3 linked regions of the Saccharomyces cerevisiae S288C genome follow. The gene in region 1 interacts genetically with each later gene. Each region holds a gene or a part of one and is shown in the gene's direction. Other genes may lie near its edges.

Evidence for each region.
Region 2: mutations in RSF1 (region 1) and BNA3 together harm fitness more than expected from each alone (negative genetic interaction), as found in Saccharomyces cerevisiae (one large-scale study listed by BioGRID).
Region 3: mutations in RSF1 (region 1) and AEP2 together harm fitness more than expected from each alone (negative genetic interaction), as found in Saccharomyces cerevisiae (one large-scale study listed by BioGRID).

What each region holds. Positions count from the first base shown.
Region 1 is NC_001145.3:328,179-333,943, forward strand, and holds RSF1 (Rsf1p), read left to right. Parts: upstream 1-2,614; coding exon 2,615-3,745; downstream 3,746-5,765. Other genes in the region: TAP42 (Tap42p), read left to right, coding at 1-404; FAR8 (Far8p), read right to left, coding at 482-2,053; EIS1 (Eis1p), read right to left, coding at 4,034-5,765. UniProt on the Saccharomyces cerevisiae protein: Mitochondrial and nuclear transcriptional activator required for respiratory growth.
Region 2 is NC_001142.9:320,007-325,633, forward strand, and holds BNA3 (kynurenine--oxoglutarate transaminase), read left to right. Parts: upstream 1-3,379; coding exon 3,380-4,714; downstream 4,715-5,627. Other genes in the region: linker nucleoporin NUP82, read left to right, coding at 10-2,151; amino acid transporter YHC3, read left to right, coding at 4,958-5,627. UniProt on the Saccharomyces cerevisiae protein: Catalyzes the irreversible transamination of the L-tryptophan metabolite L-kynurenine to form kynurenic acid (KA).
Region 3 is NC_001145.3:832,443-838,543, reverse strand, and holds AEP2 (Aep2p), read left to right. Parts: upstream 1-3,445; coding exon 3,446-5,188; downstream 5,189-6,101. Other genes in the region: ATP-dependent DNA helicase YKU70, read right to left, coding at 1-357; RIT1 (tRNA A64-2'-O-ribosylphosphate transferase), read left to right, coding at 1,677-3,218; GPI12 (N-acetylglucosaminylphosphatidylinositol deacetylase), read right to left, coding at 5,291-6,101. UniProt on the Saccharomyces cerevisiae protein: Required for translation of the mitochondrial OLI1 transcript coding for the mitochondrial ATP synthase subunit 9.

The sequences.
Region 1 (5,765 bases):
TCAAAAATTCCGTACATGAAGTCAAATCATCAGGTACTCAGATACGAAAAGAATCGAATGATGATGATTCCACTGGTTTTACCGATAAATTAGAGAATATAAATAAGCCATTGATAGACAAAAAAGGTCAAGTCTTGAGGAACTTCACGCTTGTCGACAAAAGGCAACAACTGCAACAAAAAGTGCGAGGATATGGTCAATATGGACCAACAATGTCGGTGGAGGAATTTTTAGATAAAGAGTTTGAAGAAGGTCGCGTTCTTCAAGGTGGCGAAGAACCAGAGCAAGCACCAGATGAAGAAAACATGGACTGGCAAGATAGAGAAACCTATAAAGCTCGTGAGTGGGACGAGTTCAAGGAAAGTCATGCTAAGGGAAGCGGAAATACCATGAATAGAGGATAGAAAAAAATACCTATATACGTACACATAAGTATCTATTAGACAGATTCATATATTATTTTTTTTTCTGCCTACATCAGTTATATTTTAATCTTGTGCAAAAGGACTTCGTTATTTTTATTCACGGTGATTAACACCGGCGTAGAATCTACAATCAGATTTGAAGAAAATACCACAGGCTCTTTTCTTTCCGAGAAGTTGATGTCTGCTACGACAAATTCGTCGATGGATGGTTTTAGGTTTTCTAAATTCCTAAACTCAAAGTCTCCATTACTATATGATACGGTGATTATGCTGTCGTTCAAATCGAGTTGTATTGGTAGTGTTGACGATGGAGTCAATTGTTCCTTCAGTACAACTTTTTTCTTATCAAAAGAATAAACCAATAATCTCTCATTGCTTAGCTGAATCAGTAGCTTAGAAGTTTTTCTATCCAAAAATAAATGGTAACCTTCTTCTTCTGGCTTACCCGATAATATTGTATCAATCTTCAAATCAATTTTTTGTAGAAGCTTACCCTCGAAATCATATATGGTAAGCTGGTATGGATTTGAAGACAGTAATATTAAGGATTTTTCTGTTATACCCAATATACAATCCAGAATGTTTGTGGAATCATTACTATCATCGTCATCATTATCATGTGTTATTTCATATGTTTCTTTTATGTTAATTGGGACATCCTCAGGAGCCTCTATATTGTCCAATTCCCAGATTCTAATTTGAGATTTATTCTTACTAGCTATCAACAACCATTTATTTTTGAAGTCTATATTAATGATATCACTAGACGAAAACGGCTGTTCTGAGTCTTGTAATAGGTCCACATCTGAGATCAAAGATGCGCTAGAAATAGAGAACAATTTCAAATGGAAACTCTTTTCAATAACAAGGAGTTTGGACGTCGAAACCCAGAAAAATTTCATAATGTCGCTATCTTGCCCTAAAGATATTTTCTTTAAGAGTTTGGAATTCAAGTTTGCGTCCACTTGGTGTATTTCTAACGATTTGGTGTCTGCATCATAAAGTGCCATACAGTCCCCGTAGGAGCTGATAATGTCGACTTTCGACAATTCCGAGTGTATCTTGGATATTGTTTCATTATTTTCACGCTTGTTGGCTGTGCTAAACAAAGATTTCACTTTGGTTGGTGATGGTGACTCTGAAGGACCTTGCTTTGGATTGGGTTTGGTGTCCAAGAGGGCATTATTTAAAATATCCATCCCATTTGTCTTCGCACTGCCCTCTTCCTTGGGAGTATTCACGTTCAGTTTCTCTAAATCGTGCAATTCAGAACCCGCTTCTCTGCTATTTAATGACTCTAACTGATTGACCGTGTTAGGGCCTTTCAACAAATAAATTATTTCCTTCACATTTTCTTGAACAGCTAGCTTAGACTGCAGTAATGAATCAGGCACATGTTTTTCTTCCTTTTCACCTTCAGGAGAAACAGCTTTCGATTGTATTTGATTCAATTGATGCTTCAAATCTCTATTTTCGCCCTCTAGTTCTGCAATTCTTGCTTTCATTTCCGACCTTTCTAGCTCCCAGGTGATTCTATCTCTTTCATTCTTCGTGAACTCCGTTTGCAAGTAGTGCATTACACCAGGTAACGTGTAATGCGGATGAACATGTGCCTGGTTAATAGCCATATTGTTTTCCGGTCTAACTACACGCACTTACTTCTTTTGGGTTTCTTTATTAATGTTGTTGCTTGCTCCTCACATTTAGTCGTTCTAGGTGGCTTTTATCTAAGATTACGCGACGGGGAAGATCGCAAAGTTAAGACCAATAGAGTACTATACCATATCCCAACAAAGAAGCCTAGGGGATGGTGCAGCAGTAAAAACTGAATAGACTATAATAGATCATCCTACGTAAAACCCGAATAGGTTATCTCTTAAACCTTGTTTTCCTGTAAAGTTGTCCCGCGCATGTGAAGACGCAGAGAGTGGAGATCAATCTTAAAACAACTGAAGCAACTAGCACTTTCTTGACATTTAATAAGGAACTATTATCGCGTAAACCAAAAGAAACGCATGTAAAACATCTGCAAGTTACTCCATCATCTGACACCTAGAGACGTACGTATCAGAACGATTTGAGTGGAGGGGTACAAAAAGGGACTCTGTAGATCAAAAACTGTAATATTATCCTTTTTTTTACTTTCTGAGAAGCTATTCGAAAACAAGGAGATAGAACTACAAGCAGTTATGAAGGACCTAAATCCAGAAATGGGGAAATTTGCTACCACTAAAGGCCCTCCTCAAGACAATAGAGGCATGGTTGATATAGCGACACTGCCTAATTTTCCTGCCAACCGTAGTGGGACTCCTCGTGAGGAGATGTATCTGGCGCCCAACAAGATGGAAACTCCAAGGATACTTAATATGAATATGGTACCGGATTATTTGCAAAAAGAGAACTTCTCGCCAGATTTTTCTTCTGCTACCGTATCTGCCAAGTCATCTCCTGTCAACGTTACTCATGATGAGTCGCTTCCTCTGGGAACTATTGAATCGAATAGCACAAAGGATTCTAAATATGCAGTTCAACGGCAACAGCAACAAGTGGTAGATTTCATAGAGAATAATATGCAGCTACTGTCTTCAGAAACACTAAATTTTAGATCAGACATTATGAAAACTTTGGAGCTTCCCATTCCCAAGAGAAGAGATATTAAGGGAAACCATCTATCTAAACTATTATTTGCTAAATCACCTCTAACTATCAACACATATTGCCAATTTTATGACCGTAGAACCAAGCGAATTTGCAATCAAGAAATGATATGGAAAGATAAGAACAGTAGAGAGAAGCATGGTTCTAGAAAGTATCAAAGACATTTGAGTAAAGTTCACGATGTCCAGCTAACACCAAATAATTTTACCGAATTTTTTGATCATAATTCTCCACTTTTCCAGGAATGCTATGACTATCAATCTAGATTGATGCGTGATTTACTTGTTGAACCAGATGCCAAATTCAAAGAGAAGAAAAAGAAGAAAAAAGGGGACGTCAACGGAAATCATCCTGAAACCGGATCGAGCCTCATCAACCACCAGGTCCAACAGCAAAATGTTCGAGAACTTCAATCGAAAATAGCCATGAACGACTTGATAGAGATTCTTATCGATTTAAACATTCCGTTTTCTGTTTTAGACTACCAACCAATGAGAAATTGGCTCATCAAATATTCAATAATTTCAACAGATACTTTGCCGGATGAAGTATACTTCAAAACTGATCCAGGCGTGAATGAACTGGAACACAACAGTAGTAATTTAAACAATAGCAATAGCGGTACTCCTCATAATCATAATCAAAACCAACATACCAATTAATTAAAACTTGCTTTTAATCTGCATACATAAAACTTAGATCAAATAAATAAAAAAAAAAGTAAAACAACCATATATACTATTTCATAAGCAAAAGTAATCAAATTAAACAAAAAAAAGAAAATACAAATATTAAATTTAAATTAAGGCAATAAACATATATTATACACATAAAAAGAATAATTAAAGCGCAGATGAGAACTATCTTAATTATCAAAATTCTGTAGTATCCCACTCAACTGTTCAATATCTTAGCCGCACCATTTCTTCGTTATCTAGGCTCACTAGCAATTATTTTTTCTCTTGATTACTAATTGCATCCTGATCGTCTTCGATCGAAGAACCCTGTGAAAAGCCACTAAATGTATGTTCCAAACTATCAGGGCTAACTCCCAATGATTTATTGTTTCCTGCTTTCTGTGAAACCGAGATTTCTTTTGAATGCTCCGCTGATTTACAATCATTAGCGTCTTCTTTTCCACTTGATTTATTTCCGATCGAAATTTTTTCTTCAGGTTCCTTTGTTTGAACAGCAGAACTAGTTTCGGTAGCTTCTTTTGCGGCAGTACTCACCGGAACCCCATCACCACCTGAATTTTTCGTTTCGGCTCCCACTATCTCTTCCTTCTTTAGTTCATCACCTTCCTCTATTTTTTCAAGTTGGGTTGGTAAATCTTCAACATTTTTCTCGACGGATTTGTTTTGTGTTAAATACTCCTCAGAAGTCATACCAATCAATTTTTTAACCTTCTCTTCGTCAATCTTATCATCGCCACGTGCAGAAGCAACATCTTTCATAGCTTCCAACAAATTTAGTTTTTCCTTCTTTAACTCGATTTCGGTCGCGTTCAACTCGCTCTTACGTTCGTTAATCAACGAATCCACTTCCAATTGCTTCAGACGGGCCTCCTTGGTTGATAACTCAGCCTGCTCTTTAGCCTTATTAGCAAGAATAATAACGTCATCATTCAAATGGGATTCCAAGCTTTCTTTAGTTTGACCTAGTTCCAGTAATTTGTCATCCTCTCTGATATTTCTATTCTTCTGGGCGTCAAGATCATTTCCGTAACCAGAGATCTTTCTTTTATGGTCAACTATAGCATCCTGCAATCTTGAGATTTCTGCGTTAATTTCATCGCGCTCTTCCACTAAAGTTTTGTGTTCCGCTTCTGCATTTGCCAGATCGTCATGGTAAGGTTTCAATAGTTCTTCTTGCTCTTTGCGCGCTTCAGTGATATCTTGTTCACATTTCTTACCCCATTCCTCCAAATCTTGATCTAGACGAGCTTTTTCGTCCTTTAACTCTTGCTGCATTTGCTTTTTAAATTCGATCTCTTTGCTCTTGGTATCTTCAAGCAGAGTTTCCCTTTCAGCGACTTTGGTATCCATTCTGGCCACAAGTGCATCAAAGCTGGCTTTAATCTTTTCCTGGGAGGTCTTTTTTTCGGTTTGATGCCTATTAGCCGTAGTAGTCAATACTTTGGCGTCATTAGAAATGATAGAACGTTCCATCGTTTCCCATTCATTTGATGATTTATTATAGGCCTCAGTTCTTTCTGCAATTTCTTCATCCATAGCACGTTGCGCCTCCGCCCTCTCACTCACTTCACCAAGTACAGGAGAAATCAATCCGGATGCGATTTTAGTGATATCTTCTGGTGACAAAAACAGGCCACCACCCATGTTAATCTTGTTATGGAATTCTGTCTTTTTCTGATGATTAGACTGTGCGACAGCGACAGCAGCTTTGTTGTATTCCATATTAGTGAATAGCTTTCTATGCATATCGCTTTTTTCAATGATATCCAATTGTCTGTCAACATTGGCTCTTGCCAAAGTCAAAACTTGCTGAGAAGTTAATTGGCTCAGATAGGTTTCCCTCTTCTGCGCCTTAAGAGCTATACTTTTGTCGATATCCTCACCAGGATGCATGTCTTTCACAGCATTAGCAGCTCCTAATGCAAATTTCATCGACTTGGCTTCTTTCTCAGCAGAAACTTTTTTGACCTTTTGTAAATCTTGT
Region 2 (5,627 bases), on another chromosome or scaffold:
CTCCAAAGTATGTCCCAATCTAGTAGGTTAAGTGCACTTCCTATTTTCCAAGCATCGCTTTCGGCAAGCCAATCTCCACGTTACATTTTTAGTTCTCAGAATGGCACAAGGATTGTTTTCATTCAAGATAACATAATAAGGTGGTACAATGTACTCACTGATTCACTTTACCACAGTTTGAACTTTAGTCGTCATCTCGTCTTGGATGATACCTTCCATGTAATATCTAGTACGTCTGGTGACCTACTCTGTCTTTTCAATGACAACGAGATTTTTGTAATGGAAGTTCCTTGGGGCTATTCCAACGTTGAAGACGTTTCCATTCAAGATGCATTCCAAATTTTCCACTATTCAATTGATGAAGAAGAAGTTGGTCCGAAATCGTCCATTAAGAAAGTTTTGTTTCATCCAAAGAGTTATCGTGATTCTTGTATAGTGGTTTTGAAAGAGGATGACACTATCACGATGTTTGACATCCTTAATTCGCAAGAAAAGCCTATCGTTTTGAACAAACCGAACAACTCCTTTGGTTTAGATGCACGTGTTAACGACATCACAGATTTAGAATTCAGTAAGGACGGATTGACGTTATATTGTCTAAACACCACAGAAGGCGGTGATATCTTTGCATTTTATCCATTTTTACCGTCAGTATTACTGTTAAATGAGAAAGATCTCAACTTGATCCTAAACAAATCTTTAGTAATGTACGAGTCCCTGGATTCTACAACAGATGTTATAGTTAAAAGGAATGTTATTAAGCAGTTACAGTTTGTGTCAAAACTGCATGAAAATTGGAATTCAAGATTTGGCAAAGTCGACATACAAAAGGAATATCGTTTAGCCAAGGTTCAAGGACCATTCACGATAAACCCCTTTCCCGGCGAGCTGTATGACTATACTGCTACAAATATTGCAACCATACTAATTGATAATGGGCAAAATGAAATTGTTTGTGTCAGTTTTGATGATGGGTCTTTAATCTTACTCTTCAAAGATTTGGAAATGTCAATGTCGTGGGATGTTGACAATTACGTGTATAATAATTCTTTGGTTCTAATTGAACGAGTCAAACTACAAAGAGAAATTAAGTCTCTAATAACGTTACCTGAACAGTTGGGAAAACTTTATGTCATTTCCGATAATATTATACAACAAGTAAATTTTATGAGCTGGGCTTCTACATTGAGTAAATGTATCAACGAATCGGATTTGAATCCACTTGCAGGATTGAAATTTGAAAGTAAACTTGAGGATATTGCCACCATAGAAAGAATTCCAAACCTAGCGTATATCAACTGGAATGACCAATCTAATTTAGCCTTGATGTCGAATAAAACATTGACTTTTCAAAATATTTCAAGCGATATGAAACCGCAAAGCACCGCAGCTGAAACAAGTATCAGTACAGAAAAAAGTGACACGGTAGGAGATGGTTTTAAAATGAGTTTCACACAGCCCATAAATGAGATTCTTATTTTGAACGATAATTTTCAAAAAGCCTGTATTAGTCCATGTGAACGAATTATCCCATCAGCAGACCGCCAGATACCTTTAAAAAACGAAGCTAGTGAAAATCAGTTGGAAATTTTCACGGATATTTCCAAAGAATTTTTGCAAAGAATTGTTAAAGCTCAAACTTTGGGTGTTTCTATCCACAATAGAATTCATGAGCAACAGTTCGAATTGACGCGCCAACTACAATCGACATGCAAAATAATTTCAAAGGATGATGATTTAAGGAGAAAATTCGAAGCACAAAATAAGAAATGGGATGCACAACTAAGCAGACAGTCAGAATTAATGGAGAGATTTAGTAAATTGAGCAAGAAGCTATCTCAAATCGCCGAATCCAATAAATTTAAAGAAAAGAAAATAAGCCATGGTGAGATGAAATGGTTCAAAGAGATACGAAACCAAATATTGCAATTCAACAGCTTTGTTCACTCTCAAAAATCCCTTCAACAAGATTTATCGTACTTGAAGAGTGAACTAACTCGTATCGAGGCAGAAACTATCAAAGTCGATAAAAAGAGCCAAAACGAATGGGATGAGCTACGCAAAATGCTTGAAATAGATTCAAAGATAATTAAAGAATGCAATGAAGAATTGTTACAAGTTTCTCAGGAATTTACTACTAAAACTCAATGAGTAAGCGACTTGCATAGTCTGCTATCATATATGTACGCTAAGAAACAACTGGGCAATGGTATAATATCATGTAGCAAGAGGACATTATATATGAATTGGTCAATATATAAAGCCTTCTGTGCACCAAATCGTTAGGATGATTTTTCAGTATGCTGTATCATTGTATCGTATATTCATTCGTATCTCTTTTACCTCACTAACCGCTGCCAAAATTTACATGTATACAAAATAAAAGTCTTTTTTATGACCTTATTTGGTGAGTAATGCTACTTTTGTAAAGAGTGATGGAAACTATTATTCCAAAGGGTTAGAAGAAGGTGAGGAATACGTTCATATCACCGCTACAGATCGTGTCTCTCGGTTATGAGTAATCAAACCCTCTGCAAGCAACACAGTTACTTTTTTTCGGTTTTTTCTTTTCGTGTGAATTTTTATCCAGTGAGTTTCCTTGTTCACTTTCGAGAATGGAAGGCTGATTTCGAATTTTTATATTCAACAACTGTATTTGTATTAGGCTTTGCAATAGTAGATGAAAAGTGCAGAAGACGAATCTGCTACCCTCACAATACAAAGAAAAACAAAATCGTCATTTTAATATAGGAAGACACCGCTCAGGTAATTCAATATTGAATCTGGTTGCACTTTTCTTACGATGTAAATACCCACAAACTTCTTGTACGGTGAGCGTCTGACAACGAAATCAATTTACGGAGCAAGGATTTTGACAGTAGAGCAGATTGTTTTGAGTAGGATTTAGGAATCAAGACCTCCATCTTTGTCGCATTATTCCTAAATGTAACGTAACTCGTTTGATAAGAGAATGTCTAATCGAAGAGAGTTAATAACTTAATAAGCTCTTTAAAAGAACGATGGCATTTATCGTCTCCTATGCCAAGATAATTACTGGCTCAAAATTGTTCAGCGTTCATAAAACTTTGATATCACTTTCTGGCGCACAAGCTAACCTTTATGTAGTTCTTACGTAGATTCTTTTTAGCAAGTGCCTGGTAGTGGTTATTACATAAATGTATCTTTTCATTTGATAACAATTTCTTCAGTAGCATGTCGTGTCTAGCACGTGACGTAGAACTGTGGCTTTTTTGTTGTCATTATGACAATCAAGATACCAAAATTCAGTCATGTTTAAAAGGGGAAGGTACGATAGAGATATATATAAAGTGTTCAATTTACTATAATTGCGTATAGAATCCATTGTTACTTGCTCTCAATGAAACAACGATTCATTCGTCAATTTACGAACCTAATGTCTACTTCGAGACCGAAAGTTGTTGCCAACAAATATTTCACTTCTAACACTGCCAAAGATGTTTGGTCGCTAACCAATGAAGCCGCTGCAAAAGCTGCCAATAACTCCAAAAACCAAGGCCGTGAACTTATTAATTTAGGCCAAGGCTTTTTTTCATATTCCCCTCCTCAATTCGCCATTAAGGAGGCTCAGAAAGCCCTAGACATTCCAATGGTCAATCAATATTCTCCAACTAGAGGTCGACCTTCATTAATTAATTCCTTGATTAAGTTGTATTCTCCTATTTATAACACAGAATTGAAAGCGGAAAATGTTACCGTAACAACAGGTGCCAATGAAGGTATACTTTCTTGCTTGATGGGGCTTTTGAACGCTGGCGACGAGGTTATTGTTTTTGAACCTTTCTTTGACCAATATATTCCAAATATCGAACTTTGCGGTGGTAAAGTTGTTTACGTCCCCATAAATCCTCCAAAGGAATTGGATCAAAGGAATACTAGAGGTGAAGAATGGACCATTGACTTTGAGCAGTTCGAAAAAGCGATTACATCCAAGACAAAAGCTGTCATTATCAATACCCCTCACAACCCAATTGGTAAAGTTTTCACGCGCGAGGAATTAACCACTTTAGGTAACATTTGCGTCAAGCACAACGTTGTGATTATATCTGATGAAGTCTATGAACACCTTTACTTCACTGATTCTTTCACTAGAATTGCCACACTCTCTCCAGAAATTGGGCAACTAACCTTAACGGTCGGTTCTGCCGGTAAATCGTTTGCTGCTACTGGTTGGAGAATTGGTTGGGTCTTATCCTTGAACGCAGAGTTGTTAAGTTATGCAGCTAAGGCACATACAAGAATTTGTTTTGCATCTCCATCCCCTCTACAGGAAGCTTGTGCAAACTCTATTAACGACGCTTTAAAAATTGGGTATTTTGAAAAAATGAGACAGGAATATATCAACAAATTCAAAATTTTCACATCGATCTTTGATGAATTGGGACTACCATATACAGCTCCAGAGGGTACATATTTTGTCCTCGTTGATTTCTCTAAAGTGAAAATTCCCGAGGACTATCCCTACCCAGAGGAGATCCTGAATAAGGGAAAAGATTTTCGCATTTCTCACTGGTTGATCAATGAATTAGGTGTGGTTGCCATTCCACCAACTGAATTCTATATCAAAGAGCACGAAAAGGCTGCTGAGAATTTGTTAAGGTTTGCAGTTTGTAAAGATGATGCTTATCTAGAAAATGCCGTAGAGAGATTAAAACTACTCAAGGACTACTTATAAGATAAATTTTTTTTTATACTCCTTTTTCTCAATATATAGATTTTATAAAGCATGTATATTTTTATGCAGAAGTGGTAAATATAAACATCAATATTCCAGAATAATTCCATATTTTCTTCGCGTACTACAAGAAAAAGTGAACCCTTAATGAAAAATAGACAATATGAACATTTAGTAATGTTTTGAACAGTGTATTTATAGAGTACTTAAACACATATGAAGATATAGCGCAAGTAAATATAAATGAGTGACAAATCTCATCAGATATATTGCTACTTTTGGCTCTTTGGTTTGATCAATAATGTACTTTATGTGGTAATACTTTCAGCAGCTGTTGATATCGTGGGTCCTACCTTGCCTAAATCTCTAGTATTGCTAGCAGATATATTCCCATCACTCGCCATTAAATTGTGTTCCCCATTCTTTATTGATAGAATCAAGTACAGCTATAGAATATGGTCTTTGATCACGATGAGTTGCTTAGGAATGTTCTTAGTTTCTTTTAAAAACTTGTTTGTTTGTCTTTTAGGAATATCTTTCGCATCTATATCTTCCGGATTTGGAGAAGTGACATTCCTACAGCTAACACACTATTACAAACAAATTTCTTTGAATGGATGGTCGTCAGGTACTGGTGGTGCAGGAATCATTGGCGGAGCATCTTATATGTTCTTAACTTCAATCTTTAAAGTTCCAGTGAAGCTAACTTTACTAGTATTTAGTCTCCTTCCATTTGCATTTTTGTTTTATTTTAAATTAGAATCCAATGATACCAACCTGACTTACCAAAGTCTTCAACAAATTGACGAAGCAGAGGATGACCAGTTGGTGCCCTTTCCTGTCGCCTTTACACATACCAACGCTTCGCAATCCCTGTATTCTACAAGACAGCACATTTTGCAAACGGTCAAGA
Region 3 (6,101 bases), 500 kb from region 1:
TGATAAATCTTCTAAAAGATCGTTCAATTTCTTCATAAATGTAGCATTTATATCCCTTAATGGAAAAAGTTCATAGATACCTTCCTTGGCATCCTCTCTGTTACAGTAATAAAAATAGCAACCAATAGCTGTCCCAGGTCTTGTTATGACCAATTGTGACATTAGCTCATCTAGTGATTCCAGAATTTCCAACAATGGTGATTTATACTCTAGATCAGAGGACTCTTTAAACATTGTCTCTGATAGTTCAATGCAAAACAAAATTCCTTCATGGATATCAAACTTCCTATAACCTGTTTCATCCACTTGATCGTTAAGTTCTCCACTATTGCCAAATGCATTAGTGACTGAGCGCATAATATTCCCGTTTTAAAATCAGGCTTAGAGTCACTTAACAAATCATAGCTTTACTGTTGAAAACTAGAACAGTAATACAGAGAATGTCATTTGGTAGCTACCTTAAAGCAATCCCTAATACATGAAATTGAGAATCTTCAAAAATTAAGGTAATCAAAAGTAAAAAAATATCTCCCGGGGGCGAGTCGAACGCCCGATCTCAAGATTTCGTAGTGGTAAATTACAGTCTTGCGCCTTAAACCAACTTGGCTACCGAGAGTCAATTAACTGATAACCATTCAATTATGAGTCCGTCTAATATCATGCTTATTCACAATTTTAATATAAGCAACCTTGCAGAAGTGACCTGTTGTCAAAACGGAATATCAACTTGATTGAGGGGATGATAATTATCCTATATATTCTATAAATATGGATTATACTGAATATTGGGTGAATAATTTGATAATTGTTGGGATTGCATTGTTGATCAAGGCTATATAATATTATGTACACAGAATATATTAGAAGTTCTCCTCGAGGATAGAAATCTCAAAATGGAATCTATATTTCTACATAATAAAATTACGATTATTCCTCATTCCGTTTATATGTTTCATTATCCTATTACATTATCAATCCTTGCACTTCAGCTTCCATTATACTTGATAACTATTTCTCAATCCTTATTTTATGTTTTTCCACCGCATATTATAATATGCCAGTAATATTTATTCTTATTAATGGTCGTTAATTTCACACCAGGCGTGTTTATAACTGAGTAATCACTTTAAATTTGAGCATCCGGTTTTGCACCGTTAATAGTATCATTGTTAATTAGTAGGCAGGTTGTAGTATATTCTAAGAATAAAACAGGTGCCCTTAATCTGTACAAGAGAAGAGTATGAAATATGAATTACATTGGGCATATCGACTATACGCAATATATCAGTAGCTTCGACGATTTAGGTAGGTATAAGGGTTTCCTATACCTGTATACACAAATTTCAAACTTATGGCCGAGCCAGATAGTCCTTTAGCTATGCCTTCCATTACTTCTTGGAAAGCTTGTTGCATTTCCCGTCATATTATGTACGGTTACAACTTTTTTGTTGATTTCCATGCCCGAAGGGAGCTTAGCATAGCCGCTATTACATAATCTTATCATCTTCATCAAAAATGAACTTCTAAAATCATCCCACCACTCTATTGCTCTTCATATATGCGTTGTATGTTTATGTGCTTTGTTCTTATTACTGCTTAACTGTGACTGGGCCCATTATTCATTGTTCATATGCAGGAAAAAAAAAGCATGCTTGAAAATTTTGATCTCTTGATGGATGGTATCGAGGCTATCAAAGAGATATAGATCCAGAGTACAGTTTAGTATATCCGTGATGGATGAAAATATTTATCTTTCGCTATCTCAGATAAATAAAGACATCAGAAAGGAAAACAAGTCCGTAAGGAATCGACTTCAGAGTATTCTTTTAGACAATAAATTTTTGCAAGATCGAGTTATCCCTATATTTCCCCATTATCCACTGATACCCAATGAAAGATGTGGGCTATGGTACTGTAATCCATCAAGTTTCAAACAGACCAGTTACTTTAAGAGCACAGACGGGCATGTCAACCAATGGGACTTTAGCACCCGAAGATTGAACTTTCATTTGTTAGAGACCATTCGAGATAATAAAGGTATTATAATTGTCGATAGTACTAGAAGAGGTAAAAAAATCCCAGATGCTTTGAGTAAGACTGTCCCCATATGGTGTGCTGTATTAAATACGTTAATGCTTCAGGAAACAGAAAAAAATGTTGCCATCGATAAGGTACTGTATCTTCCACCTGAGACAGTTCCCAAATCAGAATATGACATGATTAAGCGAAAAATACCCGAACTAGTTGCTAAACTACAAAAATTGAATATTATAGATTCTAAGAAATTGAACGAACTGTTTATGGGTAAGTTATTGCGGCCCATATGGGTTCACCCTGGTTCTTCACTTCTAGACCATTCTGTTGATTACTTCACGGGTGAAGTACAGGAGTATGAAGCCTGGGAAACACCTGAAGACCAAAACATAATACCCATTATTTTGTGCACGGTAAGCTATCAAGCACAAGATGGTATGGATAAAAGATACGGCTTCACTTATGTGCAGGGTGCAGCCGACGATCACGAGCTCTGGTCTTTTGGTTTGGATTCAAATATGTTTTGGGCCCATATAGAATACCTAGGCGACGCAAGTTATTCAGACGACCAGTTACATGATTACATCATGGATTTGGCTGCTGCAAAGCTGAGAAATCAGTGTTATATACAAGATAAAGGAAGCTTGGATGAAGTCTTTGGAAACATTGATAAAATTACGAATGAGATATCTCTAGGAAAAGTGAGTTCAGGCTTAACCATCAATAAGAATTTGAAACAGAAATTGAAGTCAGAATATGGTAAAGTTATAATTTTCAGTAATTCGGTGACTGTTGCTGAAGATACAGACGATGAAGAAGAAAGTGGGACAGATCCGTTTATTTCAATATACAAGTTGCAAAGCGGAGACAAGAAAAGTTCAAAAGCTTTACGATCCACATTCCCTAGAATCCATGGAGAAATTCAATCGTTGTTTACAAATCGAGATGAAAAAATAAAGCCAATGCTAATATGCTGCAATACAGGTACTGATATGTCAATCGGTGTCATCTTAAGTATCCTTTGTACCAAATATACTGAAGAATGGATGCTTACGTCGGAGTTACCGGACATCAGTAAGCTTATTGTAAGAAAACACTTGACAAAATTGATTTCCCACTTGAAAGGACGCAACGTTAACCCTTCAAGAGCAACACTGAACAGCGTCAATAGCTTTTTAATGTAGTGAGTTAGGCAATACTGAGATGTTTACTCGCAATGTCACTGTATATTTTAATATCAAATAACGTCAGTTTTTATTAGAAAAAGAGCGGGTTACCGTTTATCCTGAACAGAAAAGGTTCATTGAAAAAGAGCCCTTCAGACATTGGCTAATGAAAAGAATATGTAAAATCAAGAACAAATTAACGAAGCTCTCCTTCGTTAACAGTCCACTACCTAAATTTATGATTAATGTGGATAAATAGACTGGTTAAACATCCATCCTACAGTGTTCTGAGGTTTTACACGAAGAGGCTCTGCACTGTATCAGTGAAATCGCTGCGTGAATTTGGTGTACTGCCGAATAGCACAATATGTCATTCTGTCTATCCCCGAAGAACGTATGTAATGGGTAGGGCTGTCATAAATGATATTTTAATCAAAAAATCCTATTCAACTCACACGGTATGTGCAATTGATCGATCAAAAGATGAAAATAATGGGAGCGCTTATGACAAATTCGAGGCAAAAGGTATACCTATAGATGTTCACACATTAAAACGAATTATCAGCTCGAGTGGAATGGATGAATCCGAATTTTCCAAGAGTATAAGTTACTTATTCGCGAAAACCGTGGACCCTGAACCGAAGGATGTTCTGTCTTTAGAGGACCTGTCTTTTCTTTTGAGCAAACTATACACACAACGGTTTCAAATTAGGAGAATCTGTAGAGACATAAACGCTAAATATTCAGAATTTTGGTTCAAACTTTTTTCCTTATATGCAGAAAAAGTTGATGCCAAGAGAAACCAAGTTAACTTACGGAATACGAAACTAGATGCATGTGAAATATTTGATGCAAATCTTATGATCAAGAACTTTATAGAGCTCGGTCAATTAGGTAAGGCTCAAAAAATTTTAAGCTTTATTCTTGATAGAAATCCTGATATATTACTGTCTCCGAAAAATGCAGATATTAGCACAATAGTTCACTTTTTACAACTGCGTTGTGGCGCTTTGGCGCCTTATTGGAAAATACCAGATAATAGTGAGCAAAAACAAGGTTTTTTAAGAAAAATGGTTCGACTAGGTGCGAAAAATACGTCAATTCGTCTTTCTTCTACTTACAAAGCCATGGATCACCAAACATTATTAAAGATTGCTGATCTTGCTCTGCAGGAGAAAAAGCTTTTGAATTCCGAGGATTTGTTGTCCACTTTAATTCAATCCTTTGGACACCTAGGCCAAACCCAAATATTGGAACGGTGTATTGAACATATATGGCAAATATCACCCCAAGAGTTTCCTAGTCACGTAGTAATTAAGCACCGAGGGTGCTATCCTAGTTCCAAAATACTCGTTTCAATCTTAGTGTCATTCTACTTTAATGACCACGATCTTCACAGAGGCCTAAGTATTTTGGATTCATTCATAAAGCACTATCCGGACGTGAAATTGGATGCGCTATTTTGGAGAAGGCTGTTTCAGCTAAGTCATTTTGCTTGGACACCAGCAAACGACAAGAAAGCCACTTCTGTTGTTAGATGTTGGCATTTAATGAAGCAGTGGTATGCATCTAAGCGGCTAAGGCCTTCAGTTGATTATGAGACGTTGAGACAACTGTACGATATCATGAAGAAAACAGGCAATTTCCCGCTTGGAATTGATGTTTTAAGGAGTTTCAAACCGGGGATCGAAAGAACGAGAGCAGAAAATGCTGGAAAAGTTAACAATATCATTATCAAATACCAAAAATGTATTATTAAGGAGCTTGTAAATAGAGGTAGATTTTCAGCGGTAAGGGAATTCATTGATAGTTATGGTTTTGATAGAAAAATGACCAAAGATTTGAATATTTTTTGTGCGAATCGTATGTTTCTAAGAAGTAAGAAAATGAAAAACAAGATTGAGAACAAAAAGGAAAGGGAGAAAGTGCGGCTAGATAGTTTCGATGACGATGAAGATGATGGTATGATTATAGGTAGCCTTTGGTAAGAAAAGTGTAAGTAGAATTAGCATTTATTTTTCTCCATATTCTTATTCTATAGGATGTAAATAATATGGGACTTTTTTATATATATATCTACAGTGTAGAGTCTAATATGTATAAACATCAAATTCATTAACGAAGACAAATCTGGAAAATATCCACCATCCGTATCTAAACCACACAACTTGGGATTCGTGAGCATTTAGCATAGTGGCAAACGCTAGTACGTATTGTGCATGTGTATTCATAAGTGAAAGCTTGTCTTTTTCGGCGGCTGTGTTAGGCGGAAGCGCCTGAATTATTCTACGGAATGGAGAAATCAGGTCGTAAAGTATTTTTAGGATTTCCCAAATAAAGGAGTTGTACTTTAAAACGATGTTGTTCTTGTAGCTTCTCAAATAAAGCGCAGTGACATGAGGTGGTTGTTCATTTCTTTTGGTCTTAGGTTGAGCATAATCATCCACCAACTTTTTAACGGCAGCATAACAGCTTTTGTGGTTGATATGATTTGATACACCATATGAATCAAAGGTAACGATAATCTGGTTCAAGTTATGATTCTTTATATCTATCTTTTGTGAAAGAGAAGAAGTTATAGAATCAATATCCCATATTTCGTCCATACCATCCTGGAAATCCATCACCTGTACGGAGACTGCTCTTTCATTGTGTAGCAATAAAGCGGCCGACTCATTTAATTCTCTTACCCTGGTTTCGCCAAGACCTTCGGCGTTGCCCTTTGATAAGCAGATTATGTTAAATGGGACGGTTCTCGGAAAGTACGAATTCAGTTGAGAAATTATGGGGGAAAAAAACATAACTTCGTCGTCAGGGTGCGCTATGACCAAATTGATTTCATAATCGCCATATTTATGAGGAAAAATATGCTGCAATGATGCATTGTTTCGGGAGACGATT